Linked DNA regions of Nothobranchius furzeri. The protein of the gene in region 7 interacts with the protein of the main gene of each other region in a pairwise test. Links are inferred from orthologs where the notes say so. Each region holds a gene or a part of one and is shown on either strand. Other genes may lie near its edges.

Region 1 (4,209 bases), on a different chromosome or scaffold from region 7:
AATTTTTTTTCACTTGACAAAAAATTAAATGAGACTTGAAAATAAAGATTCGTATTTTCTCACACTGATTATTTTGTTTTGGATTATTAAAGAGACAATATGTAGTTTTTTATCATTAATCTCTGGAAATATCCATCGAAATGTTGTTCAAAAAGAATAAAATGACGTCCAGATGTTGAAAAACATTGGAGGCTTTGTAACATATAACTATAAAAATCTGGTCTAAATTGCAGTCTTTGGAGGACGCCATAGACACCATGTTTCCTTCTGGCTGGCTCGGGGTCCTGCGCCTGTCGATGACATCACACTAGATGATTGGCTGGACGTACGACTTACAGGAGTTTTGTTAGTTTATTTAAACTAGCAACAGTCATGGCGATATGGTATAAAACTACCCTGAAATGTGTGTCTGTACTGCCCCCCAGTGCCAGAAAACTACACACTGCCACTTTAAGCTCTCGCTGAAAAGTTAAAATATTAATAATCATTGAACAAAATTGTTTGCCACTGTTTTCATTGATTGATTGATTGACACTTTAGTGTTTGAACTTATCTTTACATTCAGTAATGGCCAAGTGCATTGACGGACTAGCCATTGGGAGCATAGGGACATGTCCCAGTCCCCACCTGGACAAGTGTATCTCTTGCCCTCTAAATTTTGACACATTTGTTACAAATTTGATGAAAATAAAACCTTTTAGGTTCTTTAGTGGAAGATATCACGATCATAATTCAGTATATTAAATAAGTTAATTATGACTTTGTTATAAACAAAAAAACATTTATTTTATTTTAATAAGACAAAAGTTGTGCTTTTAAGAATGTTTTGTCATACCTGCTGAGATTTTTGACTGAAGGCTTCAGTCTAGCTCAAAACTAATTTCTGCTGTTGTGTCATTTATCAGCTGGTCTGGGGACGCGGTTTGGTAGCGCTCCCCCAGAAGACCTGGCCCAAGTGGCTGGGGAGAGGGAAGTCCGGGCCTCTCTGCTTAGGCCGTTGCCCCCATGACCCGACTCTGGATAAGCGGAAGAAAATGGATGGATGGATGAAACTTGTTGAACATGTTTTGCATCGACCATAAAATTATTATAACTTAAGAAAAAAACAAATAATTTGGTAACACTCCAATATCCTGAGATCCGGACCAATGCTTGAACAATGTTTCCAGCTATAAGTAACTGGCTTTAAGAGGTTTTCAATGTTTTCCATAGATTCAAGAAGTGTTGTTTTTCTACGGCAAACTGCCTTAAAAACTCAACAACAAAAGCATTGACGCCACTGCAGAACCCTTTGCTTTGATATGTACGTATCGTGTGGGTTCGCTCTTCATCTGGGCTACAATAAAGTTAATGCAGGAATAAATAAAATAAAGACAAGATAAAAAGTATCTGGTTTAGAGGTGAGTAGCTGTACCCCCCAGCACCAATGCAACACTGTTTACCGCTGTCAAGTACATCACACCTTTCTTTTAAAATCCATATAAAAATCTGTCCTCTTCCTTTGGACAGGGTTAGGGTAATTATGGTAAGTTTACTCCCTGGTGAATGATTGGCTGACTGTGTCCTCACCCCTTTCACCCCTCGGTCCCATTCACATTTAAAGCTGAGCCACAATGAGCTCATTCAGTCAAAATCAGGTCTACAAAACGCCAAGAGCCACTATGGATGGAGTCAACTCCCGACGGGACATCACTGTTGTCAGTCGCTCCAGGGACCTGAGCCAAGAAATGGTTAAAAAACTGATTCATCAGTCGCAGGAGGTAAAGACGCAATCTTACTGCCCTTACAGCAAATTCCGGGTGGGAGCTGCTGTCATGACCCTCGACAACTGTGTGTTTACAGGTGAGCTATGCAAAATGTTGGTAATTTCCTCTTTAAGCCCATGCTTTTCTATTATATTTAGTATAAAAAAATTTAAATAATGTGTCTGAGTCAAAGCCTTCTAGGAGACATAACAGAATTCAATATTAAAACAACACAATAGTGCATCCGTTTGCTCTGATCTTCATACTGCTGGATCATGTTAATGATTACCCATCAGGTCAAATGTCTAAACTTGAGAAAAGCTCTGGAGTAAAAGGCCAACGTTCTCCACACCCAGTAAGTACAGTCGGCATGTGCACAAACAGAAGTCGGAGACACGGTGCTCCTGTCAGCATCACTGGACAAGTCACCTGTCCTGTCACGTGGGGGAGGTACGGGGCGATGACTGGAAAACTGCTGCAAGTCCAAAGACCCCTCTGACTATTTGAACAGGCCAGCAGAAGTAAACACTGTTCCAGAAGGTAAATGCCCCTCATAAGTTAAGTCACCCCATGTCTTTGTGTGTCTCTCTAGGGTGCAATGTAGAGAACGCGTGCTACACTTTGGGACTGTGTGCTGAAAGGAACGCCATCTCGAAGGCCGTGTCAGAAGGATACAGGAGTTTCAAGGCCATTGCAATCGCCAGGTAAATGTACATTGTATTGCTTCATGTTGCATTTATTTTCACCTCAAGAATAACGTAACAGTTTACAGTAAGGGTCCCTCTATTAACGTTACTGCATTATGAAGCACTAATAAACAAATAATCCCTTTATTAAAGGGATACTATGCACATTTTTCATATTTTTAAATAATTGCCTTGAGCCAGTTCGTGCTTAAATAACTATTTACAGGGTTAATGGAATGTCACTCAGACCCCACCGCCCCCTCTGGCCAGAATATCACACTTGCAACTTCAGAGTTGCTGGTCTGTCCCTGCTGGGGGGAGGGGGGTTGAGTGGAGTGGAGCAGACATGGTGGAGCGGTCTGCTTCCAGCACGTTCCCTGCATGTTACTGATGGTGAACACAGCTGATTTGTTTGATTTAGTGATAAACCGCTCCTCTAGAAGATAATGAAGACGGAGGAGACGCTACAGCAGTAAGATTAAGGTGTTTAAAAGATGAATGCACGAGGAGATAAGTTTCATTTTCGGTTTAACTACAGTAAATTAAAAACGGACACTAGGGGGTGCTAAAAGCATGCACAACTACCTAGTGTCACTACCGTTGTAAAGGTTAGGACAAATGGCTGAGTGGGCAGAGGGTCTGCTAAGCAATGCATTACATTAATATGGTTAAGCAGTTTTTAATACCCTTATTTATTAATGCTTGATATTGCACAAAGTACTGTAAAAAATTACCAAATTATTCATAAAAGCCAAACAATTGAGTTTCATTTTTCTTGTAAATTCCTCCAAACCCCATTTGCTTTCTGCTACGTTTTCCAACTTTCTGTTTTTTGCAGTGACTTATGCGACCAGTTCATCTCTCCATGTGGGGGCTGCAGACAGTTCATGAGAGAGGTCTGAGCTCCTTGTTCCATTTGCAGAGTTTAAATGAGTCACTAAAGCAGCACGCATACTAATCAGCACTAGCAGGAGTAAAGCACTAGCCAAAGCTGGTTCCTTTTTGTGAAATGTGAAGTTTTTGTTTTTTTGACCTACAGTTTGGGTCCAATTGGGACGTTTACCTGTCCAAGCCTGATGGATCGTATCAAAAGCGGACGGTGGACGAGCTGCTGCCCCTCTCGTTTGGCCCTGAGGATCTATCCATGAACAAAGTGTTTAGCTGAACATGCTGTAGTGATACAGCATGCTTCATATGTGTTTAGCAGCAGTTATATTTATGGTGAGAAGTTTGTTCTCATGCCGTCTCTAAATTATATTTAAATCAACTGCGAGAGGGAAAAATATTATTGATGCAATGATTTCATGTCTACTTCCTCAGTAGCATTAAATGCACAACTTATGTTGGTAAAAATATTTATTGGTTTAAAGAAGCATGACAGAAACGAATGGTCACACATTTTAATAAATAGTTTTTAAATGGAGTCACGCTTCATTCCTTATTGAGAAATGAACACAGTTTCAGTTCAAAGGACAAACAAAAGAAGAACATATTTTGTATCAGTGTACTGCAAATGTTTCTATTTGAAGAGACAAAAAGAAGAGCCATGTAAGCTGCCAGTGCAAAGTGACAAAATTAATTCATGAGTTATTTTAAGTCTACCTATCATGCGTAAACATTCAGAGGCTAAAGATTAGAAGACATATTGTTTCTCTTGGATTCAGAGCTGTGGGGGGGGATATCAGGTAAATCGGATTTTTCTGGCTAAATTGTTCATCAAAAGGAGAGAAAGCACTAAAGTCAAACTCTAGATTGTTATTTCCAGGCTTTAAGTACAA
Region 2 (4,309 bases), on a different chromosome or scaffold from region 7:
ATTGGGCCGTAGTGTTTAGTTACAATCTGTCCCGCCACCAGACTTCCTGATTCCAGAGCCAATCATATGCGAGCCCCCAAGGTTGTAAAGTCTGCGCCAGCAAACGCTGCTGTTTACACCAACCGGAAAAAAGCTAGAATGTTGTGGAAACGAATGGAAGCTAGTAAAAAGAGTGTCGCAGAAGCTACTTTTTCAATAACAAACAACTTGATGTTACAGTAAAACATTTTATCTACTCATCAACTTACTGTGTATGACTCATCATCACTTGTTATCTAGAACCTTCTGGCACTGATCCATAACTGGCAACCGTAGCTAAGCGTGGACTTATTGGTTTTGATACACAGACTGCAGTACCACAAACTGACCACAGGATGTCATTTATTATGCACCTTCAGTTGAGTTTATAATAAATCTTATTCTTGTTTTTCATCATTTTCTCTCGAGTAGTGGTCATGTGACCATGACCTTTGAAAGGACGACCCATCCACCTTTATAAAACACAATTCAGAGGCACAACAACAAAAAACCTTTACCTGTAGGCATCAGAGAGAGAAATGAAGGAGAACTCCTTGGTGCTGTACAGCATGAGGTCCTCGGCCATCTTACTGAGGTGGATCAAACACAAAGAAGCCCAGAACAAAAACTCCACTTAAAAACAAACAAGACATAGCTCAAATTAAAACACAAATAGAAAAGCACATCATGCATTTCATGATAATCTGAAATGTGTAATCTGCATACCAATAAAGTCTCTTTGGCCTGTGGCGTCCATGCTGTTCAGGCTGATGCCATCAAATCCTAACTCTATAGATCCAGTGAAGGATGAAAAAGTGCAGATTGTTAAAAATAATCTATGTCGTGAATTTAAAAATATTGCAGGTCAAATGCAAAAATAAAAACAAAACCTTTGCGTAAAAGCTCCCTATCGATGTCGAAGGGGGTTCCCGCGATGGCTCCGCTGAAAGAAACAGAAATACTTCTGGTTACTTAATCAGGTCCGTGTGAAAGCTGCACTCACACAAGCGGATTTATTATCAGTGAGTCGTGGAGGATGGCTGCTTATACTGAGCCAGGATTCTCTGGAGGTTTCTTCCTGTTAAAAGGGAGTTTTCCTCTCCACTGTCGCTTTTTGCTTGCTTAGTATGAGGATTGCTGTAAAGTCACTGACACTAGTCAGTGACTTGATGCAATTTGCTGGGTTCCTTATATAGGAAACATTATTTCTGATTGGCTTAATGAACTGACCTGAATTGGAATGTTTATTATGTGAAGTGCGTTGAGACGACTCTTGTCGTGATTTGGCGCTATAAACTTGAATAGAATTGAACTGAATTACAGCGCACCTGCCCAGAGGCAAGACGTTCACTCGCTTCTTGATCTCCAAAAGCCGCTCCACATCTCTGCTTAATGCAACAGCATGACTGACGAAAGAAAAACCCAAAAGACTGGCGTGAAAAACTCAGAAACATTAAAAAAAGTGATAAACTCTGTGGTTTTCATCACCTCAGAATCCAGTGGCTCCATCTGATTGGCTGAGCCCTCTGCATGTGAGTGTAACCAGGAAAAAGGACGTCAATCTCTCTGTGAGTCAAACACAAGACAGAAAATGAGACGAGAACTTGTGTTTTTATCCATCAGAGTGTGTTTAACACCTTACACTGCCGCCCGCTCCACCATGGTAGATATGAGCTGCAGGGAGTTGTCTGTGAGGGTTTTGATCGCATCTCGTAGCCACAACCTCATGTCAGTCACCACCTGATTAACCAAATAAAACAGCAAAGGCTCAAAACTCTATCAGCTGCTTGTTTAGTATCGCAGATACGAACCTGATCGTTCCTGCTCCTGCCCGTGTGCAGCTTCCCTGCAGGAGCTCTAATCAGCTCCTGCAAACACAAGTAGCATTTTTATAAAATAGTCAGTACACTAACTGCATGTTTTGCTCGTGAAACTCACTTTAAGTCTGCGTTCATTGGCAGTGTGAATGTCCTCATCTTCCGGTTTGATCAAAAAAACTCCTGTAGACCACTCCTCGAAAATCTGCAGGGTTATCAGGTTTATTTATTTCTTCAGTGCATTTGCTTTCCCTCACCAGCTGCACTGACACACATCAGGAAATAGAGGGCATGTTGAAAACTGGTTTGAATGGATCTGTAACTGGAGCTGCTGCAGCTGACACCTGTCATGTGATGCAACTATTGTGCATGACACACTCAGCAGGAAATAGGAATCCTCCGCCATGGCACATTTTCAGCTGTCGTGCATTAACCAGAGCCCACAGTGCACATAAACAAACTTCTGCAGCAGACCAACAAACAGAGCTTCAGATATTCCAGTTGTTTACTGAATACGCTCACCTGATCCATGCCAGTCAGGATTTGCTCCATTTCCTTTGTGCTGACCAGCTGAGCCTTTTCCAGAGCTTTCGCGTAGGCTTTGCTCCCTCGGATGTCAGCATCCCACATTCTCTGGTCAAAAGGGATGGAGGCGTTGAACTTCTTCATGATCGGATCTGTGTCTCCGGCAAAACGACCTCCCCAGAGTTTAGCCCCCTGTGACAAAAAACAGGAAAATAAATGAAAAAATGAGAATGAATAAGTTCAAACAAACACTACCCCGGGCGGTTTTTGGCTGCGCGTTTGTCGTCCGGTTGACGGCTAAAATCAAAACAACACCACTGAAACTAAACCCTATACCTCTGCGCCGGCCATGGTGATCGACAGGCGTTTCTATCTGGTGGTAAATTTAGTCCGAGTGGATTTTAGAAGCCGACAAGCAGCGAGAACGAAGCGGCGGTGGCAGGATTTCGCTTTTATCGGAGCAGAGACGTGAAAGCATCTTCTGTTGCTACGTGGTCCGTATCCGTATCCGGAAGTCTTTTGGTGTTGTGCAGAATAAAGCAACCCCGCCGTCAGAAGGTTCCCCAGCTAGTAAAAAGCAAGGTTTGGATTTTAAAATAGATAAAAATCAAAATAAACAGGTTAACTTTGGATTTCTAATCCGTAAGAACAAACTACTGTTATCAAACGCAAGTTCGTGTACTGAGATCCTGTTAACGACAGGGGGTACCTTTTTCGGCATAACACCAGCGGAAACTAATTTGGGTTTTTCCAAGTGTTTCTCTAATAAATCGTTATTTATTTAATTTCTTTTATTATTTATTTGTAGTGTTACTATTTTATCTAAATCTTTATCCTAACTGTTCTTTTTGTGTCTTATTGTTCTAGTAATGGTTTGTTTAGGTAGATCATTTCAAATATTTCTAGTAATTATTTACTCATTTTTGGAATGGTGTTTACAGAAAGATATTTTATACACGTTTCTGGACTCTTGCAATAACTTTTCTCAATAAACAATTGCCATTTTCATGTAGGCCTACTGTACAAAAGAAGGAAAGTTACAGACAGTGATCGTTTTGACAAATTTCTGAAGTTTTACATTAAAACACAAATAATTGTTAAAACACACTAAAAGGCCCACCAAAAACAAATTGTAATAGAAAAATGTGTATTATATGGAAGCCCAGTCCTGCCACTCAGATAAAAAAAAATATCTCAAAATTATGACTTAGCTATCTCATAATAATGAGATACTCTCATTATGACTTAGTCATAATAATGAGATACTATCTCATTATGACTTAGTCATAATAATGAGATACTATCTCATAATAATGAGATAGCTAAGTCATAATTGAGATACTGTCATAATAATGAGATACTATCTCAAAATGAGATAGCTAAGTCATAATAATGAGATAATACATTGTTTTTTTATCTGAGTGGCAGGAATGGGCTTCCATAGTATTATGTATTTACATTTTAATACTTTTTTTTGGTGGGGTGGGGGGACTAAAGTTTTCTTTTCAGAACGAGCTCTAAGCATTACGATAATAATAGTGTTTAAAAATGCTCTTGTAAATATTTTTCCCAATTTTGGTTCTTTAGTTTTCCCAACATTCAGAAACAAAGGAGAATTACATTTTTCTTGATCAAAAGTACGAAAATATCACTAAAAGCATAATAAAGCTCAGTTCCCAAGACAAAAAACAGTTCACAAAAACGTCAAATACCATTATTTATTGTTTGATACAATATCTATTTTCCTGAGAATGAGTCATAATAAACATTTTGGATGGATCGAATGAAAAATCTGAAAAAAATATTCACACAGAAATCATTTAAATTAAGCACCTGAACAGTGCTGTGATGCTAAAATACCCTGACTCTGTTTAGGTTTTAAATTCTCAAGAAAACCTTTTCAGAAAGTCCTGATATGTTTGTCTGTGAACAGATGCAGCAGGAACAAA
Region 3 (4,046 bases), on a different chromosome or scaffold from region 7:
TAGCATCTTTACTCGGTAAACAAGTTGAAACTAATGGGTGTTGCACAGGTTAAAACTCACCTTTAATAAAAAACACATCAATTATAAAACTATCAGAAGAACCAATGAAACAAGAGATACAGAATAACACACAAATCACTCTGCTCACCAAAACCACCCTAGCAGAAAGCTTGCCTTTATAAAAGCTGTTATTTCCGGTTCTGACTTTCAAAGTAAAATGCAAAATTGTCATACCACACAAAAAGAATCATTTAATTATTTCCCAGCTTTATTATAAAATGTTTGTGTTTTTGTCAGTCTGTAACACATCTGTTAACTTGTAATCTGCTGGTTATTCCTGTAACTGACCAAACTGGCCAAAACATTACGACCACCAGTTCTGATCCACATTGAGGTTTGTGCACAATAAAAAGCTGTTAAAAGCTATAAAATATAGTTTAGGCAGTTGAGAGCAGTTTTTCTAAACGATGTATTAATTTAAAACATCTTAAATAAATGGATCCTGTCGCCTGGTTTTCTGCCAGAAAAGCACCATCTTACAAAGTTTGATTGGAGTCAGCGAGTTGTTCAAGACACTAACAAATATGTGGTTTTTAACAAATCTAATGTGTTGTACCGCAGTCACAAGAGTCATCTAAAGGTGTTCTTCTGCAACCATAACAACCTTATTATGAGGGTGTGAACGCCCCACTGCCGGTGATGGTGATCTAGTTAATCCTGCATCAGAAACATTGGAAATATAAAGAAGAAAATGACCACTTCTTGGCCCTAAGATTCATGGTTTTAATAAATACAAATTGTCACACTGATGTAAACAGTCACCCGAGTTTTATACTAACTCTCTATAAAAACACACTCCTATTAAGTTAACCAGCCATTAGATTCAAGTGCTGGTGGTGACATCATGTAACGATAGACATATATTAATCCATGTGTCACACACATTTCATAGTGTGTTCTATGCAAATAGATGGTATTTAAAAACACAGAAAACCTTTCACATACATGTATTTACATGTTTCGGATCTTTGCAGAATAAACCGGAGATATTTTAAAACTGTAAACGAGAAATAAAGTGGTTTATTAAAGCAAACAAACGAGAAAAAAGGGCAAAATTGCTGTGCTTTTACTTTGACGGCTTACTTCCGGTTTCGGTGTTGTTGCGTCACTACTATCTGTCGCTTCACAGCTGAGTGAAGAAGCCTGACGGAGGCTGAAGGAGGAGAGCGGAGATTGAGGGGCGTCCTGACAGAAGCAGCAGGAGGAGAAAAACCAGTTCACCCACTCACCACCAGTTTCACCTCCTCTCCCACGAGACAAACCAGATTTCTCTTTGTTTTTGGGTTTCCGTCAGCGACCATCGCGCAGCCACAGCAACACCGCCTGACTGGGAAGTTTGGTCTCGTCCCGGTGATGTCCGGATCGTACTGCAAAAGTTTGTACCCGTTCAGCGGGGAGCAGCACCAGCAGGGACTGAGCTTCGAGGCTGGGGAGATGATTAGGGTGGTCCAGGCTATACCCGGAGGCTGGTGGGAGGGGGAGAAGGATGGAGCCCGGGGCTGGTTCCCCTCAAGCTACGTGCAGGTCCTGGAGGTAAGAGACCCGTCCTGACCCCAAAACAACCTCCAGCGGTGAGCCTTCTGAGCAAAACGCTCTGAACAGCTTTATTTGCTCTCTCTCTCTCTCTCTCACACACACACACACACACACACACACACACACACACACACACACACACACACACACACACACACACGCTGATACGCAGCTCTCCCTGCTGGTTCCGACTGGGCGGCTTCCTCATTCCTCACACATTCCAGGGATGCGTTCAGGTCCCCCAAGCCACACGCCCCACCAGGTCTCCAGAGGCGAATTAAATTATTTTGGGGCGGAGGTGAAGCACAGACTTGAGCCCCCCCTCACCTCTTGCCATCATTTGTTTTAACATATACCATAAATCCTCTAATATTGGCAACATTTTGGCCGGTGTCGGCGGAGGTGAATAATGGCCGGTTTTTTATTGTGGCCGGGTGGAATGTGGTAACAAGCAAGTACAGGGGCGGTTGTGTCATCCGTCTCACTTTTGATTTGCCAGTGATAGACCGCGAGGGTAACTTTAACCGTGCGGAGACGAAGAGGAGGCGAAAATTTGATATCAAGTTCAAAGAGAACGTGCTGATTATGCTGCAGAACACTCTGGGGAGCAGTAGCAGGGTTGTATGAACTAGTCACTAGTCGACTTCACCGCTCTATAGTGACTTTTTATGCCTGTCATCGACTAGTCGCTGTCACGTGATAATGACCGGCAAGATGTAGTCCATGGAAATAGAGCTGAAACGATTCCTCGAGTACCTCGAATAATTCGAGTACAAGAAATCCTAGAGTCAAATTCTCTGCCTCGAGGATTCGTTGAATTCATATTTAATTAATTCATGGCTTTGCAATCGCCCGGGGTCATGTTTCACCCGGACCGAAATAAGTGACGCACATGCCCACTGGACTGAATGCACAGCGAGTAGCGAATGTAACTTAACTTTCTCTTAAGCCATGGCGGACAACTTGTACCCCGGTGGAGTGAGAAAAAGACAGAAAATGTCAAAGGTGTGGGACCATTTTTTACGTCGTAATGCGGAAAACGTAGTCCAGTGTAAATACTGTAAAATGGATTTAGCCTACCACAACACCACATCCTCGATGCTGCAGCACCTGTAAATGTCACTTCTGCAAGCGGACTCGGAGCCTCTACAAGATGATGCATTTTAGCCTGTATTTCTATATATTCTGCGGACACTGCGACTTTTTCATTTGTAGCACTTAGTTTCAGTTCACACCGTACGTCTGGTAGCAACACTTCGGACTTAAAATGTGCTAAAAATAGCAATTTGGCAGTCAGGTTGTTATTTTTTGCACAGGCATTTGTTTACTGTGAAGTAAAGTTGAAGTGCTGAAGTTTTGCAAACTAATTTTGAATAAAACTTGAAGAATAACTGGCAATTGCTTTCTCATTTTAAGAGGTCTTTCATAATTATAACATGCTATTTGATATAATGGTTTACAAACACAAAAGGGTAATTTATTAGAGTACTCGATTAATCGAAAAAAAGATTCGATAGAGTACTCGATTACAAAAATATTCGATAGCTGCAGCCCTACATGGAAAAGACAGCAACCTGCTCCCAGCAGGTGACAAGCTCCTGCGCGTCGGGAGGCAACGCGCTGTGCCAGAGCGTCGGTACTGACACCCGCCGTAAAACGGACATTTAACTAAATTGTGACCTTTACCCTCTTGCAATTTAACCTTCCCCTCACCCCCATCCTAACCTTAACCAGCTTGCGCATGCAAAGCTCTGATTGTTGACGTGCTCCAGACATCTGCGTCCTGAGCACGGCCACAGTAACATTATCAAATCAGGTGTCGCCACCTCAAAAACTAATTTAACACACGATCATTCATGTCGGCTCATTTCCTTTTATGTTTTCTGTCTTTTATTCTTTTATTTGTGCCTGATGCTTTTCGCTGCTGTGGAGCGGGGCGCATCACCTGTTTTGTCCTCGGTGACGCACCTAACTGATGTGGCCAGCGAGCACTCCGCTGTTTTTGCGGTCGGTAGATCTTTTAGAACTGCAGTTCAAAGGTAACTCATGAGGTGAAAATATATGACCCCAGGTAGCAGTTTCTCTTTAGGATTGAGAGGAGATGCAGGAAGATAATAAACAGGCAGGACAGAAAAATAGTCAAATAAAAACAAGTTAGTTTTTGTACCTGGTGGATGCAACAAACAGACACCATTGAAGGTAATCAGAAGTGAGGAACAGAAAATGAAATAATTATTTTAATGTTTAGAGCAGCAGGAACTCTGAGAGGCTGCAGGCGCATCAGTGAGTTTGCGGCCGCTGCGCAGGGGGAGGGGGGAGAGGGCTGAAGCAGGGGGAGGGGGGAGAGGGCTGAAGCAGAGACTACCGTTGTTAAAAGAAATGTGTTTAACTTTGAAAATGTGGGCGCAATTTTAATTGTCAAAAACTCCAGCGAACCATTAGTTCATTTT
Region 4 (4,104 bases), on a different chromosome or scaffold from region 7:
AGGTGTGTCCCTTGTCCTTCAGGTGTAGGTGGACTGTAGAGTTTGCTGAAGAGGCGGCTCTCCTGTGTTGTGCCATGCTCTTGTGTAATTGTTGTTTAGTTTCTCTAATGTAAACATCTGGACAGTGCTCCTACACTGGACTACATAAACTACCCCACTGAGCTTCTGTTGGGGTGTTTTGTCTTCTGGATGGACCAGGTTCTGTCTGAGGGTGTTGTTGGGTTAAAGTTTACCGGGATGTTGTGTTTGGAGAAGATTCTTCTAAGTTTCTCTGAGTCTCCTGCCACGAATGTGATGATGGTGCCTTTGTGTAAAGGATGTTGTTGTTAGGTTGGTAGCAGAGCTCTCATGTTTAGTGCTAAGTTCAGTGAGATCATGGAATGGGATCAAGAATTTTCTACTGACAGGAAAAAGATCTCAGCTAACATAGCTGTAGATCACACTGGATAACTTTGTGTGGTTGCATTTATTTTACTACTTCTTGCTAGAGCTGTCTTTAGTAAGCTCAAAGTCAATTTGGTTGTACACCTGTGAAATAGCAATAAATGATCTTGAATACTGTTAAATGTACTTCCTGAATGAGTGACCTTTTAAGGCTAAAATAACAAAATGACAAATACAGACAGAAGGATGACTTATTTCTTCTTTTGTAACTCATTGCATCACCACCTGGTATCAGAACAGTACTCGGTATTGGAAGATAATCAAAAATCAAACAACCTGGACTCAGATCAGAGGCAAAAATGTGGTTGTAACATCTCTAGATATAAGTCAGCTTTATAAACTAAAACAATTATTTATGAACTAACATTAACACTAATGACACTAATTGATATATTTTTATTATGTTGTTTGAACCCAAGGGTCTCATTATCTGAATTTTCTAACCTGTTGGATTGTGAATCTGTTTAAAAGTTTTGCTCTATAAGTGCCCCTTTTTTTACTTTGAGCTCCCGCCCCGTCAAAGGTCTCTGCACAGCCCTGATGTGCAGCATAGATGTAAAACAGGCCATTTTGGTTCGTTATAAATAAATGTCAGGGCCAAATTTTGTTTTTTTGGTCTGTTGTCTCTTTAGGGACATCTCGTTTCTATTTTATATTATTGTTCGACTTCTTATTTTGATGTGTATATTGTCATATTTTAGAACATTTTGCATCTATTTGCTCCATTTTGTCAAACCTTATTCACAAGTTAGTTTAATTTATTTTAGTTATTTTCATAAAACTAACTTGTAGACTCAGCTTTACATTTAAGTAATGTGCATGAAGGTAACACGAACGTCTACGTCATTTTCTTGCGACACGCAACTCGCTGCGTGAAGCTAAAAGCGTGAAAGTCTCTAGATGGTGTCAACAGAACTATTCAGACTTTGAGAGCTGTTTTCTTGCTGGCGTGTAAAAAGGTTTGGTTGAATCAAACATTTGAAACATCAGTTTTGCTTCTCTGAATTATTTGAGGCCGCAGCTTTGCGGTGTAGCGGTTCTGGTGCTGTCTAAACATCTCTAAACTGACTGATTCTTGCTAATAAAACGTCCAGAGGTTGGTTTTGAGTTGGAATAGCGGTTTTTAGGCTCCTATCTTATTTCAAAATGAATGAAGAAGGTAAGGCGTTTCATGTGAGGGATTATCTGCTCTGCTGTGGACTCGCCGATGCTAAAACTGTCCTGTCTCTGTGGTCCTGGATCAGAGCTGGTGGAGTACTTCAGGGCTCAGATGAGGAAAGACCCGGGCATGGCCTCTGCCGTTGCGGCCATCCGCACCCTGCTGGAGTTTCTCAAAAGAGACAAAGGTGTGTATGTCACCTCATATATGCCACCTCAGTATGGATGTTTTCATACTTTAATTTCAGATATACTGTCAAGCAAAGCACCATTATGTTTTTGATATTACAGATTATAATTACCACTTATTAATCATTTTAGGTTAAGAACAATTTTCTTTTCAAAAAGCAAGTATTTCTTCTTAAATTCAAACCTCCAGGTTTATTCAACATCTTTTACATTTAAGGACTTAGGCTGATTTTTCCACTCATTTTTTAAGCAGCCAAAGTTGAGATATAAACAAAAAGACCTTCAGAAAGTTTACAGAGTGGTTGATCTCTTTAAAATATTACAAGATGATTTGATTGCTTGGAAGCAAATTATAAAGAATTGAAATGTTTGCCAAATGTATGATTGGAATTTTAAAGTATTTTTATTACTTGTAGTCTTTTTGTATTTTTCTATCTATCTATCGTCCGTCCATCCATCTATCCATCCATCCATCCATCCATCCATCCATCAATCTATCAATCACACACTGCTCACAAGAATTAAAGGAACAATTTTTTTATTGGGCCTGGCATGAAATCAATTAAATCCATCCATAAAGTGGCAACAATTACAAAACCCTCAAAACAGGACTGGTTTAACATGTAGAGGTCATTTCAAGTTTCTCCCTCTTGAGCTTTTTCTGCTGGTTTTCCACTCGTGCTAGTTTTGGCTCTCTACTGGCAGTATGAGGCGATTCCTTAACCCTACAGAAGTTGCACAGGTTGTCCAACTTCTCCAGCATGGCACATCCACACGTGCTGCAGTAAGAAGGTTTTAATGTGTCTCCCAGCACAATCTCCAGAACATGGAGATTTCAGGAGACTGGCGGTTATTCTGGGAGAGCTGAACAGGGCCGTAGAAGGTTCACAACCCATCAGCAGGACTGATATCTGCTCCTTTGTGCAAGGCGGAACAGTCTGAGCACTGCTCGTTCCCTACAGAATGACCTCCAGAGGGCCACTGGTGTGAATGTCTCTACCCAAACAATCAGGAACAGACTTCATGAAGATGGCCTGAGGGTCTGACGTCCTGTAGTGGGCCCTGTGCTCACTGCCCAGCACCGTAGAGCTTGACTGGCATTTGCTCATGAACACCAGAATTGGCAAGTCCGCCACTGGCACCCTGTACTTTTTTCAGACGAGAGCAGGTTCACCCTGAGCACCTGTGATAGACGTGAAAGAGTCTGGAGAAGACAAGGAGAATGTTATGCTGCCTGCAACATCGTTCAACATGACAGGTTTTGGTGGTGGGTCAGTGATGGTCTGGGGAGGCATATCCATGGAGGGACACACAGACCTCTACTGCCTAGGAAATGGTGCTCTGACTGCCATAAGGTATCGAGATGAAGTCCTTGAACCCGTTGTCAGACCCTACGCTGATGCAGTAGGTCCTGGTTTTCTCCTACTGCATGACAAAGCCCGCCCTCATGTGGCAAGAGTATGCAGGCAGCACCTGCAGGATGAAGTAATTGAAACAATTGAATGGCCTTCACGATCCCCTGACTTAAACCCAATAGAACATCTGTGGGACATTATGTTTCGGTCCATTAGGCAGCACCAGGTTGCTCCTCAGACTGTACAAGAGCTCAGGGATGCCCTCACACAGATCTGGGAGGAAATGCCACAAGACACCATCTGTTGTCTCAATAGGAGCATGCCCCGACGTTGTCAAGCATGTACACAAGCTCGTGGGGGCCACACAAGATACTGAAAAGCAATTTGAGTTGCAGAAATTAAGTTTTTGAAATAATGGACTAGCCTGCCACATCTTCATTTCACTCCGAGTTTAGGGTGTTAACACAGTTGAGCCCTCTCTAGGCTGATAACTTTTATTTCCATTAAAAGACTTGGCATCCTTTTGTTCCTAAGACATTGCCCTGTCGTTATTTGTATAGATATCCAACTTCATATTGAGATCTGATCTATCTAATGTGTTTCTTTAAAGTGTTCCTTTAATTTTTGTGAGCAGTGTGAAAAACGAATTGCCCCTTCCTGATTTCTTATTTTTTTGCATGTTTGTCACACAAATTGTTTCTGATCATCAAACACATTTAACCATTAGTCAAAGATAACACAAGTAAACACAAAATGCAGTTTTGAAATGATGGTTCTTATTATTTAGGGAGAGAACAAAATCCAAACCTACATTGCCCTGTGTGAAAAAGTAATGGCCCCCTTGTTAAAAAAATAACCCAACTGTGGTGTTTCACACCTGAGTTCAATTTCTGTAGCCACCCCCAAGCCTGATTACTGCCACACCTGTTTCAATCAAATCACTTAAATATGAGCTGCC
Region 5 (4,315 bases), on a different chromosome or scaffold from region 7:
CGGCCTACGTACCCTTAGCAGAAGTCCCCGTTAGATCAGGAATGTCGAGGTCCAGCTTGACCTTTATGGAGTCGAAGCCTGTAGGAACAGCTGCGGCAGCCAACCACCAGTCTTGAGATACTTCCAGGTCACTACAGTTTGTTGGCATCTAGCGAGACCCAAACCTGGGTCGTGATGGTTCAGCTTTTATTCTGAAAGGAACCGCTGCAGCAGGTGGAACAGCAACAGATTTTATCCAGCTTGTCGCTGGTTCTTTTGGCTGAAGAGGAAAGTTACGGATTTGTCAACCTCTCTAGAACGCTTTGAACTGGCGTTAAAGATGACGTGGGCATAGTTTTATACTTCGGATGTTTTGGTTTATGGTCGAATGAAAAGATGGCAGATTTACCAACCACCAGGGGTGGCGTTAGGCCCGGCTACTTGGGCTGAAGCCCCGGATCTTTCATGATAAGCCCCGGATCTAAATCGCGGAAGTAACATGCAGTACCAAAGTCCAACAGAGAGAGCGCAGCTGGCAGTAGTTTGTAAAGTCCCATTTAGTCGTCACACACACACAAATTTATTCTCCGCATTTGACCCATCCCCTGGGTCAAAATAGCTCGGGAACTATTTGGTGGTTTAACCCCCCAATCGAACCCCTTAATGCTGAGTGTCTAGCAGGGAGGCATTGGGTTCTATTTTTCTCAAAGTCTTTGGTATGACCCGACCAGGAGTCGGAACCCTGATCTCCCAATCTCAGGGCAGACACTCTACCACTAGGCCACTCAGTCGGTATACAACCTGCCTGAGCCTCCACCACTGAAGAGAAGCCCTTTAGCAGCTGGCTTCTTCTACAATCTCTGTTTGAAACGCATGAGTGAAGGTGGACATAAGGACGTTTTTTAGACCAAAAGTACAACGACAGAACCCCAGCCCTGATGAGACTGGTGTTGACTCAGGTTTGTGAGTCTTATTTGAAAATATTTGTTGTGCTGCTGGTTTGCCTAAAGTTAGCTTACTATCAGGTAAAGTTGTTGGAGAAAGAAAGGGAATATTTATAATATATAAAAATATATAATATCATCTCACACTAAACACTAACAGGAACAATACTCTGCCCTGAATATGCTTAATATGTAGCTTCAGATTAAACATTATGTGGTACAAGATATATATATATATATATATATGATGTTGACTAATGCGTGTCACGTGTGTGTGCGCATGCGTGTGTGCGCGTGCGCGCGCGTGTGTGTTAAGTCCCGGATCTTCTTCAGTCCTAAATCCGCCCCTGCCAACCACCACCCAAAAAACGCCTCCATCAGATCTGGCAGATTCTGATTGGATCAGTAAAAGCAATGTGTCATGTTGTAATGCTACGTGAGATCAGTCCTAGTGGAAACAACACTCTCTGCATGAGGCCTTAAGCAAAGATATTATGGCATCTTTGATTGGTTGCACGTCGGCTATACCTGTTTTTCTTTCTTGGAGGCCATACAGATGTAATGCGTCCCTGGATGTGTGACACAGTTTGTTGCTGAAAATTAAATGTTAATTTCTGTTCATTTGGATGAAAAACTCGACCATTGGTACGCTACACTGTGCTTTGCCTAATCATTAGCTCTTTGGACTTATAGAATGTAAAAGCTATTTCTCTGTGCTAAGGCTGTTCATGGAGGTATCTCCAACATAGGTAGTATTTTTTTACAACCTGATTATAACAGACTGATACCTCATGAGGATAAAGTAGCAAAGCAAAAGTTAATCATAGGCTAGTTTTATAGAACAAAAATGAACGTTTTAATGTGTTGGATTTTGGTTTGAGGAAGACCGGTGCGAGAACAGAGAGCGTGTCAGGAGCCAGCCCCCCCAGGCTTTAAACGGGGACATGTGAGCTTTATTTACGCCCTAATCTGAGCCAATGAGCCCGGGTCACATGGGCTTTATATCAGCACACCGCTCGCGTCAACCCCTTTCTCCTCAGCATCAGCGCTCCGATCATGGCCGGATTTCCAGCGGAGCGCATCGGTTACCTCACCCGGGAGCAGAGCTTCAGCGCCTGCCACCGGCTCCACAGGTAGCCCTCTCCTTCACCCATCCTTCAGGAACCGGGCCTGTCTGAGGCTCGAGCCGAATTAAGCTCAAAGTCCCCCCGCTGCCGGGGCTGGCTCCGATAGGTGGGCTCGTGCCCGTTAGCTATCTAAAATCATGGAAACACCGCGCTGCGATTACGTTATATCCTGACGAACGTAACAAAAACCCTAAAAACTAGACAAACCACTGCTGTACAGTTTATAAAAACCAAAGTTGTAGTTCTAAACCTTCTGGGAATTGTAGTATTTCGCTAAAGGCTTCACGCGCGTGCGGACTAATGTTGCATTCACGTGCTGTCTGATTTCCCAAGAGGTCTGACAACTGAGAAGTAACGACACAGGAAATGCACAATAACTAATGATACCGTGCTGTTTAATCCGCGGTAGTTTCACTTGTTAGGGTCATTATGTAAAGACGTTTAACTTTTGTTTACTCACACAGTCCTAGTTTGATATTTTTGGTTTATAATAATAATAACAACTTCATTTAGAGCTAGAGTCACAATGTAAATAAAATACTTGTTTATTCAGATAAATGACCTAAAAGCTGTTGTATACAAGATGTACCTGAAGGCAACACAAGTAAACAGTGTCTTGTGAGGTTTTTCTTGTTTGACTAACAGGAGCACATTGCCCAGATACAGATACAAGGATAAAAGGTTGTATTCTCCTCTGTAGTGTCCACCTGAGTGATGAGGAGAATAAACAAGTGTACGGAAAGTGCAACAATCCCAACGGTCACGGACACAACTACAAAGGTTTGTTCTGCTTCTTCATTAATCCATGTTCTACCATTTTATGGGTGTTCTATTCATCCAGATACATGATTTTACTCCACAGTGGAGGTAACAGTTCGTGGAAAGGTGAGTTTGACATAATTCTCTATGACAACTGTGTAGGATGCAGACTAGCCCTGTTAATGATGGTACATAATCTCCATCCCATTTTAACCCTGTGCCCTCAGATTGACCCCATCACTGGCATGGTCATGAATCTGACTGAGCTGAAAAGATGCATTGAGGTAAGACATTTCTGCAGGTCTTCCTTCTTAACACTGTTTAATCAGACAGACTATGTTTAAACAGGCCATTCATGTTTATTAATGCAGTAACACTCACAGGCCACTTTAAGTCACCTTGGACAAAAGTGTCTGCTAAATACATAAACGTAAACATAATAGGAACACTTTACCAGGTTGGGGCCCCCTTTGCCTTCAGAACAAGTTCTGCCTAAAGGTTGGTTTATGCTTGACGCGTCCTTGAGGTTCGCACAGCTCCGCGCGGAAAAGTTGCGTCATTTTAACAACCGCGCCTCCGCAAGGCCCAAACTTTCCGCACCTAGGAAATTTTCTAACCACGCGGACATGGAAAAACATGGCGGACTGGCCAGAACTAGTATGGCGGAGGTTCGTAAATACAGACATTTGTATGATTCAACTCTCAGAGATCACCGTGATCAACATGTTAATAATTCTTGGAGAGAAATAGCTCGCACTGTCGGAAAAGACGAGGACGCTGTTAAAAAATGCTGGAATGCCATGTTGTAAACAACAGTAGTTTTTACTTCTACTATGGTGTAGTGTTGGATGCATGCCGTAGAGCTCCATGCTGCCCCCTACAGTTTGGGAGAATATTGGCTCACCGCAGAGACGAGCCGCATGAACCATAAACGCTGCGAGTTGTGAAGCGCGTTCCATCCGCGAGCCGCATCACCAAGCGGAAAGTGAATGTGTCAAGCATAAACCAAGCTTTAGATCTTGATGTCATAGACTCATGATGTTGTCAGCCTTTATTTACAGAGCACCTTGTAAACATGAGTCATGTCACCAAAATGCTGTACAAGACTAGAATATGGAGCCTAAGTCACCCCCACCTACTGCTGGACCATGGTGAAAATAAGAAGTAATGAATGGGACCATAAAAGCTATGTTCCACTCCCGTTTGACATTTGCCATGGATTTCTTATGTTTATGTTTATTTATTTAGCAGACGCTTTTATCCTAAGCATCTTACAATTTATAACCTATAGGGCATGTTGTAATCTGTGGGGGAAACCGGAGTACCCGGAGGACAGCCACACATGCATGGGGAGAACACGCAACTCCACGCAGAAAGGCCGCAGCCCAGTTTCGAACCTGCAACCTTCGTGCTGCGAGGCAACAGTGCTAACCACTGCGCCACCATGCAGCCCATTCTTATCTGATGTCCGCTAATTAAAGACATTCAATTCAATTCAAGTTTATT
Region 6 (4,161 bases), on a different chromosome or scaffold from region 7:
CACAGCACCTAGACTGGTACATTGTGCGCCAGTAAAAAGCATCTAACCTGTGTTAAATAAAGTTCTAGGGAAGAAAAGTTACTAGGAAAAGTGTCGCTTGAGTGCTATGTCTAAAAATAGTTTATCGCATACTGTTTTTCCATCACACGTGCGACGTATATGTCTCTCTTGTTCTGATCTGCCTCTGTCTGCACTGCTGCCACATACAGATGAGATGAGATTGGCTTAATGAACTGACCTGTGCTGGAATGTTTACTGTGTGAAGTGCCTTGAGACGACTCTTGTCGTGATTTGGCGCTATATAAATAAACTTGAATTGAACTTGAATGTGCGCATTGACTGTTATATAAAGGTTGCACTACACAACAATTTTTATCGCTTTCATTGATTCGTTGTTGCAGCCCTATCCATCAATAACATGTTTTGGAGCAAAAGCATCTGGACCTTCCAGTTGTCTGGCTCATCGAACCACCACACTTCCCTGGGTCCTCCATTCATTACGCACTCACATATTTAGCAGCAGAACACCACTGGTGTGAGAGGTTCTCTGCTCAAGAACATCAGAGAAGGAGAAACAACCGGCTGCTACCACTTCAACTTTAGGGTAAACTACCAGAGTCCCAAAAGGAAATAGTCACGCCATTTAAAGTCACGGACAACAAAAGACGTTTGGACCTAGAAGACGGCAACTGGTGTTTAGCACTCTCTTGCTTCATCCGGCATTACAGGTTTCCAGTCGTGCCAGAAGCGTCTCAGGGAAGATACCTGAGGGGAGGGGTGAGTGTTCCGTGACCGTGTTTGTGTTCAAAACCTAGCTTGTTAGCAGATTCGCCATAACAGCTTTAATGTGTTTTATTTCAGGAAGATAATACTCTTCTTCATTTGAATCTGTTGTTTCTTAAAAAAAAAATCTAAATTTCTGTTTATCCAAGACAGTGGTTTAATCCCACCCATCTCAGAACAATCTACTTTGGGATTAAATAAAACTGTACATGTACATGTTTATAAGCGTGTTAGGACTGCTTTGTTATGAGAGAGAGAGAAAACATAGTGCTTTTTACCACATTTGAATAATTTTCTGTTTTTACTGATCTGTAACTAAATGTTTATTCCAAACATACTTTAAAGTATCTGTAAAGTGTCCTTGAGTGTTTAGAAAGGTGCTGTTGAAATAAAATGTATTATTATTATTATTATTATTATTATTATATTTTGAATATGTTACATTTATATGATAACTTGTATTTCAGAGCACTTATAAATTAAACTGTTCTATTGCCTGACATTATTTATGGAATTTTTATTTTAGGTATGGTAACTTCACATAAAATATAACTGAGTAGTTTTTATAATGACTTGGCGCCATATTGAAACCTGAGTTGTGTCTTTTTATATTATTTTTGTTTTATCCAGTACAACGGTGGTTGGGGATTTTTTTTTTGTTTTGTCCTGTGTGTTTTTGTTTAGAGAAAAATGATATATGTATACAACCAATTAATAAAATAAAGACACTAATAACTCACCATCATCTCCACAGACTAGCTTCTTAGAAATGCAGGGGACTTCCACATATCCAAACTCTTTCAGCCTGGATACCTGCTGGGCTGTGATGGGATGCTGCCACATCGCTGTATTCATAGCAGGGCAGAACAGAAGAGGCCGACCAATGTCCCAGGCCCGTACTACACATGTCTAAAAGAGCAAATTATAATCACATTGAAAATAAACATGTGTAAAATGTGTGTTAGATTGTTTGTGTCATGGTTATTGTGAAGGATATGATTATGGATTCCTGCCCTCACCAGTAGATTGTCACAAATACCAGAAGCAATCTTTCCAAGAGTGTTGGCATCAAGTGGAGCAATGATCAGGAGGTCAGCCCATCGCCTTAGCTCAATGTGTAGCACAGGATCTGATCTCTGTGTCCAAAACTAAAAAAAGGAAAAATGTTTATTTAGCAAACAATCAGTGAGGCATGTATGTCCTAAACTTCCCACTGGACTGCAGGATGCAAACATTTCACAATCTTTTTTGACCCTGGACAACGTTTCTGTCAAACTTCTAAGAAATAACTAGAAAATTAGATGAATAATTATCAACTCACGCCAAACTTGAATTTATTTGTGAATTTCAACAACAGTACTATGCTTTATGAGCATGAAAGAATATTAAATAAAGAACTATGTTTTTAAAATGAGGAAATATATAGAATAATACACACGAATGGGTGTGTATTACCTCCCACTCATCTTTGTCACTGTAGATGTTTACTGACACCTCTGCAGGGTTGTAGAAGTGTTTAGCATGCTCTGTGGTGACCACCCTTACATCCACCTGAAGCAAAAACAAACAACAAAAACAAAATTAAATAAAAAACACTGACAATGAGCATTTATAGTTTCGTTTGAATTGAAAACTATTTTTAAACTGATGGAAATATTTTCGCAAAACAAAAAGGTAGATTTTTAAGTTTCTGGCAAATGTCCCCATCTTGCGGTTAAGGTAAGGTCATTCAGTTTAGGAACAAATCCGTGCTATGTTTCAAAATTCATCTGGCAACAGAGATTCTAAATTGAAGTTTGATAATAGTTGTGAATCAGTTCACCCCAGGGAGCTGGAGAAGCTCGGAGACCAAAGCAGGCAGTTTCAATGCTGCGACGCTTCCTGTTACGCCAACAAGTACACGAAATGACCCAGGAGGTTTCAGTAAATCCTTTTTCAGAGATGAAACGCTGTCATCTGTCTGCATGATAGCTGTAGATTCAGGGAGAGCTCCACAACTTGCTGCTGCGGTGCTGCGCTGATGCACATCCGTAAACATTAAACGAGAGCCAATCAGAGAAGAGAACTACGCTTCTTTTGACACGAGCACGTCGCTACGTCTGATTTGGAGCGCGCGCGCGTTGGTACTAGATTACGCGGGGTATTAGCTAAAAGCTTTCAACGAAGGTAGCATGAAATATTCACAATTTTATTTTTATTTTATTTGAAGGTAAAAAGTAAAATAAAATGACTCTCACGCCTCTTGTTCACTGGGCTCAACGTCACGAGGAAATCTTCCTGCGAGTGGAGCTGACGGACGCCCAGGTGAGTACTTTAACCTGGCTACTGTTAGCTTTATTATTTAGGGGTAAACACGGAAGCAAATTAAAAATCGAACGTTCGTGGAAACATGACATTTGTTTTGCTTGTCGGGAGACGATCTCAGAGATACATTGGGTAATAATCTTTACAAAGCTCCCTTCCTCGGGCTGAATCCTTCACGTGTGGAGTTGGATACGTTTTAAAGAAGACACGCGTGGGTTCGAGGTCCGTCTAGTGGATTAAAATAGCAGAAATATCCTCTAGCCCTTTCTGATGTGGAGGTGGATTGTTTCAGGGTGTTGAGATGACCGAATATTTAGTTTGAAGCTGCACTGCAAAGAAAATCAGGCATACTCCACACGTAGTGTTGAAGTCTTTGCAACACTGTCAGCTCCTGTAGATGTTTCTTAAGAGAAACTGAAACCATGACATGAAATGTACAAAGTTGGTTTCAAATGGTAAATCTTTAGGGCAAGTTACTTTTGTTGATGTGATGAAACTTAGTAATCATGTAAATGTTTTATATCCTACAGGTTTGTGCACATCACAGGAAGCAAAGCGATGCTTCAGTTAGGAGGAAGTTTGTGCATCATCAGTCATTGTTTTGTCTTTGTTCTGCAGAATATTGATGTCCAGGTGCAGGATAATGTCCTTCAATTCAGAGGTATGTTTATGAATTTCATGTATGTTTTAAAGGAAAAGTCATTTTTAACATGATTTGTGTTTTGCATCTAGCCCAGGGATACGGTGCAAAAGGACTACATGAATATGAGTTCAGCTTAGAGTTCCTTTTTCCAGTAAAGCCTCAGGTGCACATTTTATCCTAAATAACCTTCCTTTTCTCACCATCATACCATTTTATGTTATACTGAATTTTGCTGTAACATCAGTTTATGTTTCCAGGTGAGGCACAAGTCCACACAACGTCAGGTAAACCTCACAGTACAGAAAGAGCGGCGAGGCTGGTGGGAAAGGCTCACCCTGCAGGAGCGTAGACCTGTCTTCCTGACTCCAGACTTTGACCGCTGGCTGGACGAGTCAGACGCTGAGATGGAGATTTGGGAAAAGGTGAGAATA
Region 7 (3,662 bases):
TCATTATTTTACAAGCACAGAGAGCCGCATCAGATGGATGGAAGAGCCACATGCGGCTCCAGAGCCGCTGGTTGCCGACCCCCGTCCTGGTCAGAGTTGTTGTTGTCGCTCATGTTTGTTCTAAAGAGATGTGCATTTCTCAAAGGGACAAAGAACTCAAAAGAAAATAATCTTAAAGATTGTTTGATTGATAAAATAAAACAGGTTGCTTACTTTATCTGGATGTTGCTGTCCTGAGCTTCTTCCAGAAAAGAATTTGAAACCAAACATGCCTGATCCTCCTGTTTAAACCAGTGTCCTAACCACTCCTGCCATACTGAACACAAACATATGACAGGTGAAAGTGATTGCACAAGTTCCACCAGTCATCTATAACGGTAAATAGAACTTATACCCAAACACAAATCTGCTGTTAACTAGAATCTGCATAATTTCACCAAGTTTTAATTGTTAAAATATTCTGGAAACCAAGATTCAAATTGACACCAAAAGTTACAATTATACATTTAATTTTTATTCTATCATTGCGCTACAGAGACAGAGAATCCAACGCGATCAAAGATTAAATAAAATCTTTTTATTTCTCAGGAACTCAGGTGAAATCAAGGTGCTGATGCTCAAAGTTCTCACAGGCGTGTGTGATGAAGGATCACTTCAGTTTCCAGATGAATCTGTGACATGGCTGAAGCGCTGTCGTCGTCATGTTTCTGGTTTCCTCTGAGCTTCAGAGGCCAAGGTGAAACTCAAGAGAGGTCAAACGAGATGCAGCTCAGCCCAAAACATAAAGTTCAGTTCAATGTTTGTCTCAGTCTCTCAATCATTTCAGATTAAATGTTCATAATAACATAAAAGCTAATCACAAAACAGCAGCTGCCAGGATGCTGATCAGGATTGAGCTGATGATGAAGATGAAGAGGTGGTGGAGGAGCAACCTAAGTATTTCTGTAGAAACTGATTCAGACTGAAAACTGTCCCCCAGCCAACAGCTGGGCTCATGCTGATGAAGTCATCCAGGTTCATCTGACACCCTGAAGAGGAAATGCACCAAAAGTACAAAATCACCTTTTCCTAAGACAGGAATCAGAAAACATGCTCCACATTAACTTGATTTGTTACCAGTGGTCTTTAAAGGGGGGTAAGAGGGAGGGGGCTTCTTCCAGCTCCCATCAGGGTTCTTCATGTGAGTTCGATCAGACGCAAAGTTCAAGAGGAAGCTCTCAGCAGGAATCACACGCAACTTCCTGTCACAGATATGAGAAGGTGTTGGTGATTTCACTCCAGTGCATTACCTGTGTAATTCAGCAGTGCTACCTGTGATATTCAGGTTTGATGTGGTGGTCTGAGCGGAGGGCCTGGCTGCCATAAAGCCTCAGATTGCATGGGAATGACAGCTCTGTGTCCAGATCATAAACCAGAACCTCCGACTGAGGATCCACATGAAGCAGGATCACATGGTAGTCCTAAAACACCCAAAAAAACATGATTAACAATGTATTATTTTAATGCTCTGAGGCCACTTTAACAGGAAGGAGAATCATAGACCCAGATCACTGGATGGTCAGCGTGTCCAGACTTCTGCTTCCACAGAGGAACCTGAAGGAGAACAAATAACATCACTGATCAGCAGCAGCAGCAGAAGTCAGATCTTAGTGAAAATGTTGATTCTTTATACAAACTTGGCAAATTTAAGGGGATTCGTGATGATTTGTTAAACTTTAGACCTGTTGAGACTAAATCTGTTGAGTTAAATATGTTTAAAGGGTTTTGTAACACATGACAAACTTCTCAGAGCTGATCTTCTCACCATTCTGTTGTCATTAGAGATGAAAACCACAAAGAGCTGTTCCAGTGGAGCAGTCCTCGCTGTTTGAACAAACTCACACAACTTCCACACATTCTCCTCACTGCAAAGCAAATTAAGACATCACTAATCAAACAGCAAAAATAATCTAATAATAATAAAATCATATCCATAAGAATGTAGCAGCTACCATTTAAGCCAACTGCGTTTTGCTACAAAATTTGATGAATAATTATGTAAAACCCAACAAACTGGAGTTTTTTTTAATCATGATGTAACAGAATGGATTTACCAGTAACAGCTGGTGTAAACACAGAACTCACGACTCGGTGTGATTCGATCCTTTACTGCCTTCATGGTTCGGTGTTACACCGAAACCGCTCCGACGGTGTCACTTCGAAATGTGTCCCCATGGTTGAAAACTCTTGTCACATCAACTTCATTATAAAGAAAATTGTTTGTTTTTTGCTACAAAATTTGACGAATAATTATGTAAAACCCAACAAACTGAAGTTTTTTTCATGATGTAACAGAATGGATTTACCAGTAACAGAACTCGCGGTTCGGTGTTACACCGAAACCGCTCCGACGGTGTCACTTCGAAATGTGTCCCCATGGTTGAAAACTCTTGTCACACCAACTTCATTATAAAGAAAATTGTTTGTAGTAAATATTCTAAGAACATTTTGCAGACCCTGGTACCCGAATATTTTCGTTAAACATAGTTCCCGCTTGTGTTCAGCACAACTGATACATAAAGAAAGCTGATATTCTTAGAGATTTTATTCTTAAGAGAGGCCTTTAACCTGGTTAAACAACAGATACAACAAATATTCCCAGGCCTGCGCAGTCGTGCATTTACATGGTTATTACAAATACTTTTACTATTAGAAACAAGCTTTGTACAAAATACCCAAAAACTTGGTTCAAGTTAAAAATATCCATAATGATGAAATTTGAAGCACAAATACTTTATATTTGGGATAGTCCTAATTTCTGCCTCTGGCAACAAAACAAACAAACAAAAAAAAAAAACCTTTAGAGCTGTAATTATGTTGATAATTTTAGATAATTTTATTTCCTTTTTGAAAGCTGTAATAAATGGTCTTGTTTTTCAAAAAGGTAACCGCAACACAAACTCCTTTAAAATGAAGGCAGACAAATAAAACTACATTTTGTAGGTTTTAAAAAAAGAATCAATAATTCTCCTAGTTTTAACATACAGAGACAAATTGTAAGAACAATATATTTTATTGAAAACAATAAAATACATTTTATTGAAAACAATAAAATAAACTACAGAAAACAAAACAAAAAAAAAAGAAGAAGGTATCCTGGTAATCAGTCCATTAGGGAGGTCAGACTCCTCCCACACACACACAGAGCTGCTGCTGGTTAAAACACTTTAGGTGAAGAGCCGGATGGTGGCGTCAGCTCCTGAGGAAAAGACCCACGGCTGAGTGGGGTGAAAGATCACGTCCAGAACACCAAGATCGTGGGTGATCACATGACCTCTGAGAACTTTTACAGGTACTATCAGCGGGTTCTGAAGCAGGTCGCTGGAAGAGACGGCGGCAAGTTTTAATATCCTGTCTTTTATAAGTCTTGTTATGAATAGATTTTCAGGGTGTGTTTGTGGTCTTACTTGTAAACAGTCCCGTGACAGACGATCACCGATCCATCATCAGACGCCGAGGCAAACAGAGGGTAACCTCTGTGATAGGCCACACCCCTCACTGCTTTCTTATGGTGTCTGAAGGAAAGAAGTGATCAAAAAGCTTTATTAGAACTGGCACAATGACAAAGACTACTGATGGACTCTTAGGAGCGTACCGCAGCATTTTGTAAGGTTTGGTTGAGA

What was found.
Region 1: the proteins of ntaq1 (region 7) and cdab interact in binary tests that used the Homo sapiens proteins (3 or more experiments, as listed by UniProt). The two-hybrid records come from large-scale screens. The link is inferred for Nothobranchius furzeri from reciprocal best matches to the Homo sapiens genes NTAQ1 and CDA.
Region 2: the proteins of ntaq1 (region 7) and asl interact in binary tests that used the Homo sapiens proteins (3 or more experiments, as listed by UniProt). The two-hybrid records come from large-scale screens. The link is inferred for Nothobranchius furzeri from reciprocal best matches to the Homo sapiens genes NTAQ1 and ASL.
Region 3: the proteins of ntaq1 (region 7) and gas7b interact in binary tests that used the Homo sapiens proteins (3 or more experiments, as listed by UniProt). The two-hybrid records come from large-scale screens. The link is inferred for Nothobranchius furzeri from reciprocal best matches to the Homo sapiens genes NTAQ1 and GAS7.
Region 4: the proteins of ntaq1 (region 7) and eif2b1 interact in binary tests that used the Homo sapiens proteins (3 or more experiments, as listed by UniProt). The two-hybrid records come from large-scale screens. The link is inferred for Nothobranchius furzeri from reciprocal best matches to the Homo sapiens genes NTAQ1 and EIF2B1.
Region 5: the proteins of ntaq1 (region 7) and pts interact in binary tests that used the Homo sapiens proteins (3 or more experiments, as listed by UniProt). The two-hybrid records come from large-scale screens. The link is inferred for Nothobranchius furzeri from reciprocal best matches to the Homo sapiens genes NTAQ1 and PTS.
Region 6: the proteins of ntaq1 (region 7) and ppcdc interact in binary tests that used the Homo sapiens proteins (3 or more experiments, as listed by UniProt). The two-hybrid records come from large-scale screens. The link is inferred for Nothobranchius furzeri from reciprocal best matches to the Homo sapiens genes NTAQ1 and PPCDC.

The regions. Positions count from the first base shown.
Region 1 is NC_091743.1:52,750,860-52,755,068, reverse strand, and holds cdab (cytidine deaminase b), read left to right. Parts: upstream 1-1,409; 5' UTR 1,410-1,613; coding exon 1,614-1,842; intron 1,843-2,337; coding exon 2,338-2,449; intron 2,450-3,269; coding exon 3,270-3,327; intron 3,328-3,470; coding exon 3,471-3,596; 3' UTR 3,597-3,854; downstream 3,855-4,209. UniProt on the Homo sapiens protein: This enzyme scavenges exogenous and endogenous cytidine and 2'-deoxycytidine for UMP synthesis.
Region 2 is NC_091750.1:61,113,774-61,118,082, forward strand, and holds the start of asl (argininosuccinate lyase), read right to left. Parts: upstream 2,872-4,309; 5' UTR 2,712-2,871; coding exon 2,697-2,711; intron 2,553-2,696; coding exon 2,358-2,552; intron 2,041-2,357; coding exon 1,957-2,040; intron 1,887-1,956; coding exon 1,830-1,886; intron 1,759-1,829; coding exon 1,661-1,758; intron 1,585-1,660; coding exon 1,507-1,584; intron 1,425-1,506; coding exon 1,347-1,424; intron 962-1,346; coding exon 909-961; intron 808-908; coding exon 745-807; intron 652-744; coding exon 537-651; intron 1-536. Other genes in the region: esterase OVCA2, read right to left, coding at 4,247-4,309.
Region 3 is NC_091756.1:21,480,239-21,484,284, reverse strand, and holds the start of gas7b (growth arrest-specific protein 7), read left to right. Parts: upstream 1-1,201; 5' UTR 1,202-1,413; coding exon 1,414-1,593; intron 1,594-4,046. UniProt on the Homo sapiens protein: May play a role in promoting maturation and morphological differentiation of cerebellar neurons.
Region 4 is NC_091746.1:40,378,747-40,382,850, reverse strand, and holds the start of eif2b1 (translation initiation factor eIF2B subunit alpha), read left to right. Parts: upstream 1-1,293; 5' UTR 1,294-1,590; coding exon 1,591-1,603; intron 1,604-1,688; coding exon 1,689-1,790; intron 1,791-4,104.
Region 5 is NC_091756.1:21,286,733-21,291,047, forward strand, and holds the start of pts (6-pyruvoyl tetrahydrobiopterin synthase), read left to right. Parts: upstream 1-1,487; 5' UTR 1,488-1,979; coding exon 1,980-2,056; intron 2,057-2,750; coding exon 2,751-2,830; intron 2,831-2,912; coding exon 2,913-2,935; intron 2,936-3,036; coding exon 3,037-3,093; intron 3,094-4,315. UniProt on the Homo sapiens protein: Involved in the biosynthesis of tetrahydrobiopterin, an essential cofactor of aromatic amino acid hydroxylases. Catalyzes the transformation of 7,8-dihydroneopterin triphosphate into 6-pyruvoyl tetrahydropterin.
Region 6 is NC_091744.1:66,310,547-66,314,707, reverse strand, and holds the start of ppcdc (phosphopantothenoylcysteine decarboxylase), read right to left. Parts: upstream 2,822-4,161; coding exon 2,606-2,821; intron 2,335-2,605; coding exon 2,239-2,334; intron 1,932-2,238; coding exon 1,803-1,931; intron 1,693-1,802; coding exon 1,524-1,692; intron 1-1,523. Other genes in the region: hacd3 (very-long-chain (3R)-3-hydroxyacyl-CoA dehydratase), read left to right, coding at 3,010-3,087, 3,706-3,748, 3,820-3,893, 3,988-4,152. UniProt on the Homo sapiens protein: Catalyzes the decarboxylation of the cysteine moiety of 4-phosphopantothenoylcysteine to form 4'-phosphopantotheine and this reaction forms part of the biosynthesis of coenzyme A.
Region 7 is NC_091759.1:9,346,565-9,350,226, reverse strand, and holds ntaq1 (protein N-terminal glutamine amidohydrolase), read right to left. Parts: upstream 2,253-3,662; 5' UTR 2,159-2,252; coding exon 2,094-2,158; intron 1,905-2,093; coding exon 1,805-1,904; intron 1,594-1,804; coding exon 1,543-1,593; intron 1,461-1,542; coding exon 1,312-1,460; intron 1,242-1,311; coding exon 1,117-1,241; intron 1,029-1,116; coding exon 886-1,028; 3' UTR 558-885; downstream 1-557. Other genes in the region: ribosome biogenesis protein bop1, read right to left, coding at 3,207-3,360, 3,447-3,554, 3,635-3,662. UniProt on the Homo sapiens protein: Mediates the side-chain deamidation of N-terminal glutamine residues to glutamate, an important step in N-end rule pathway of protein degradation.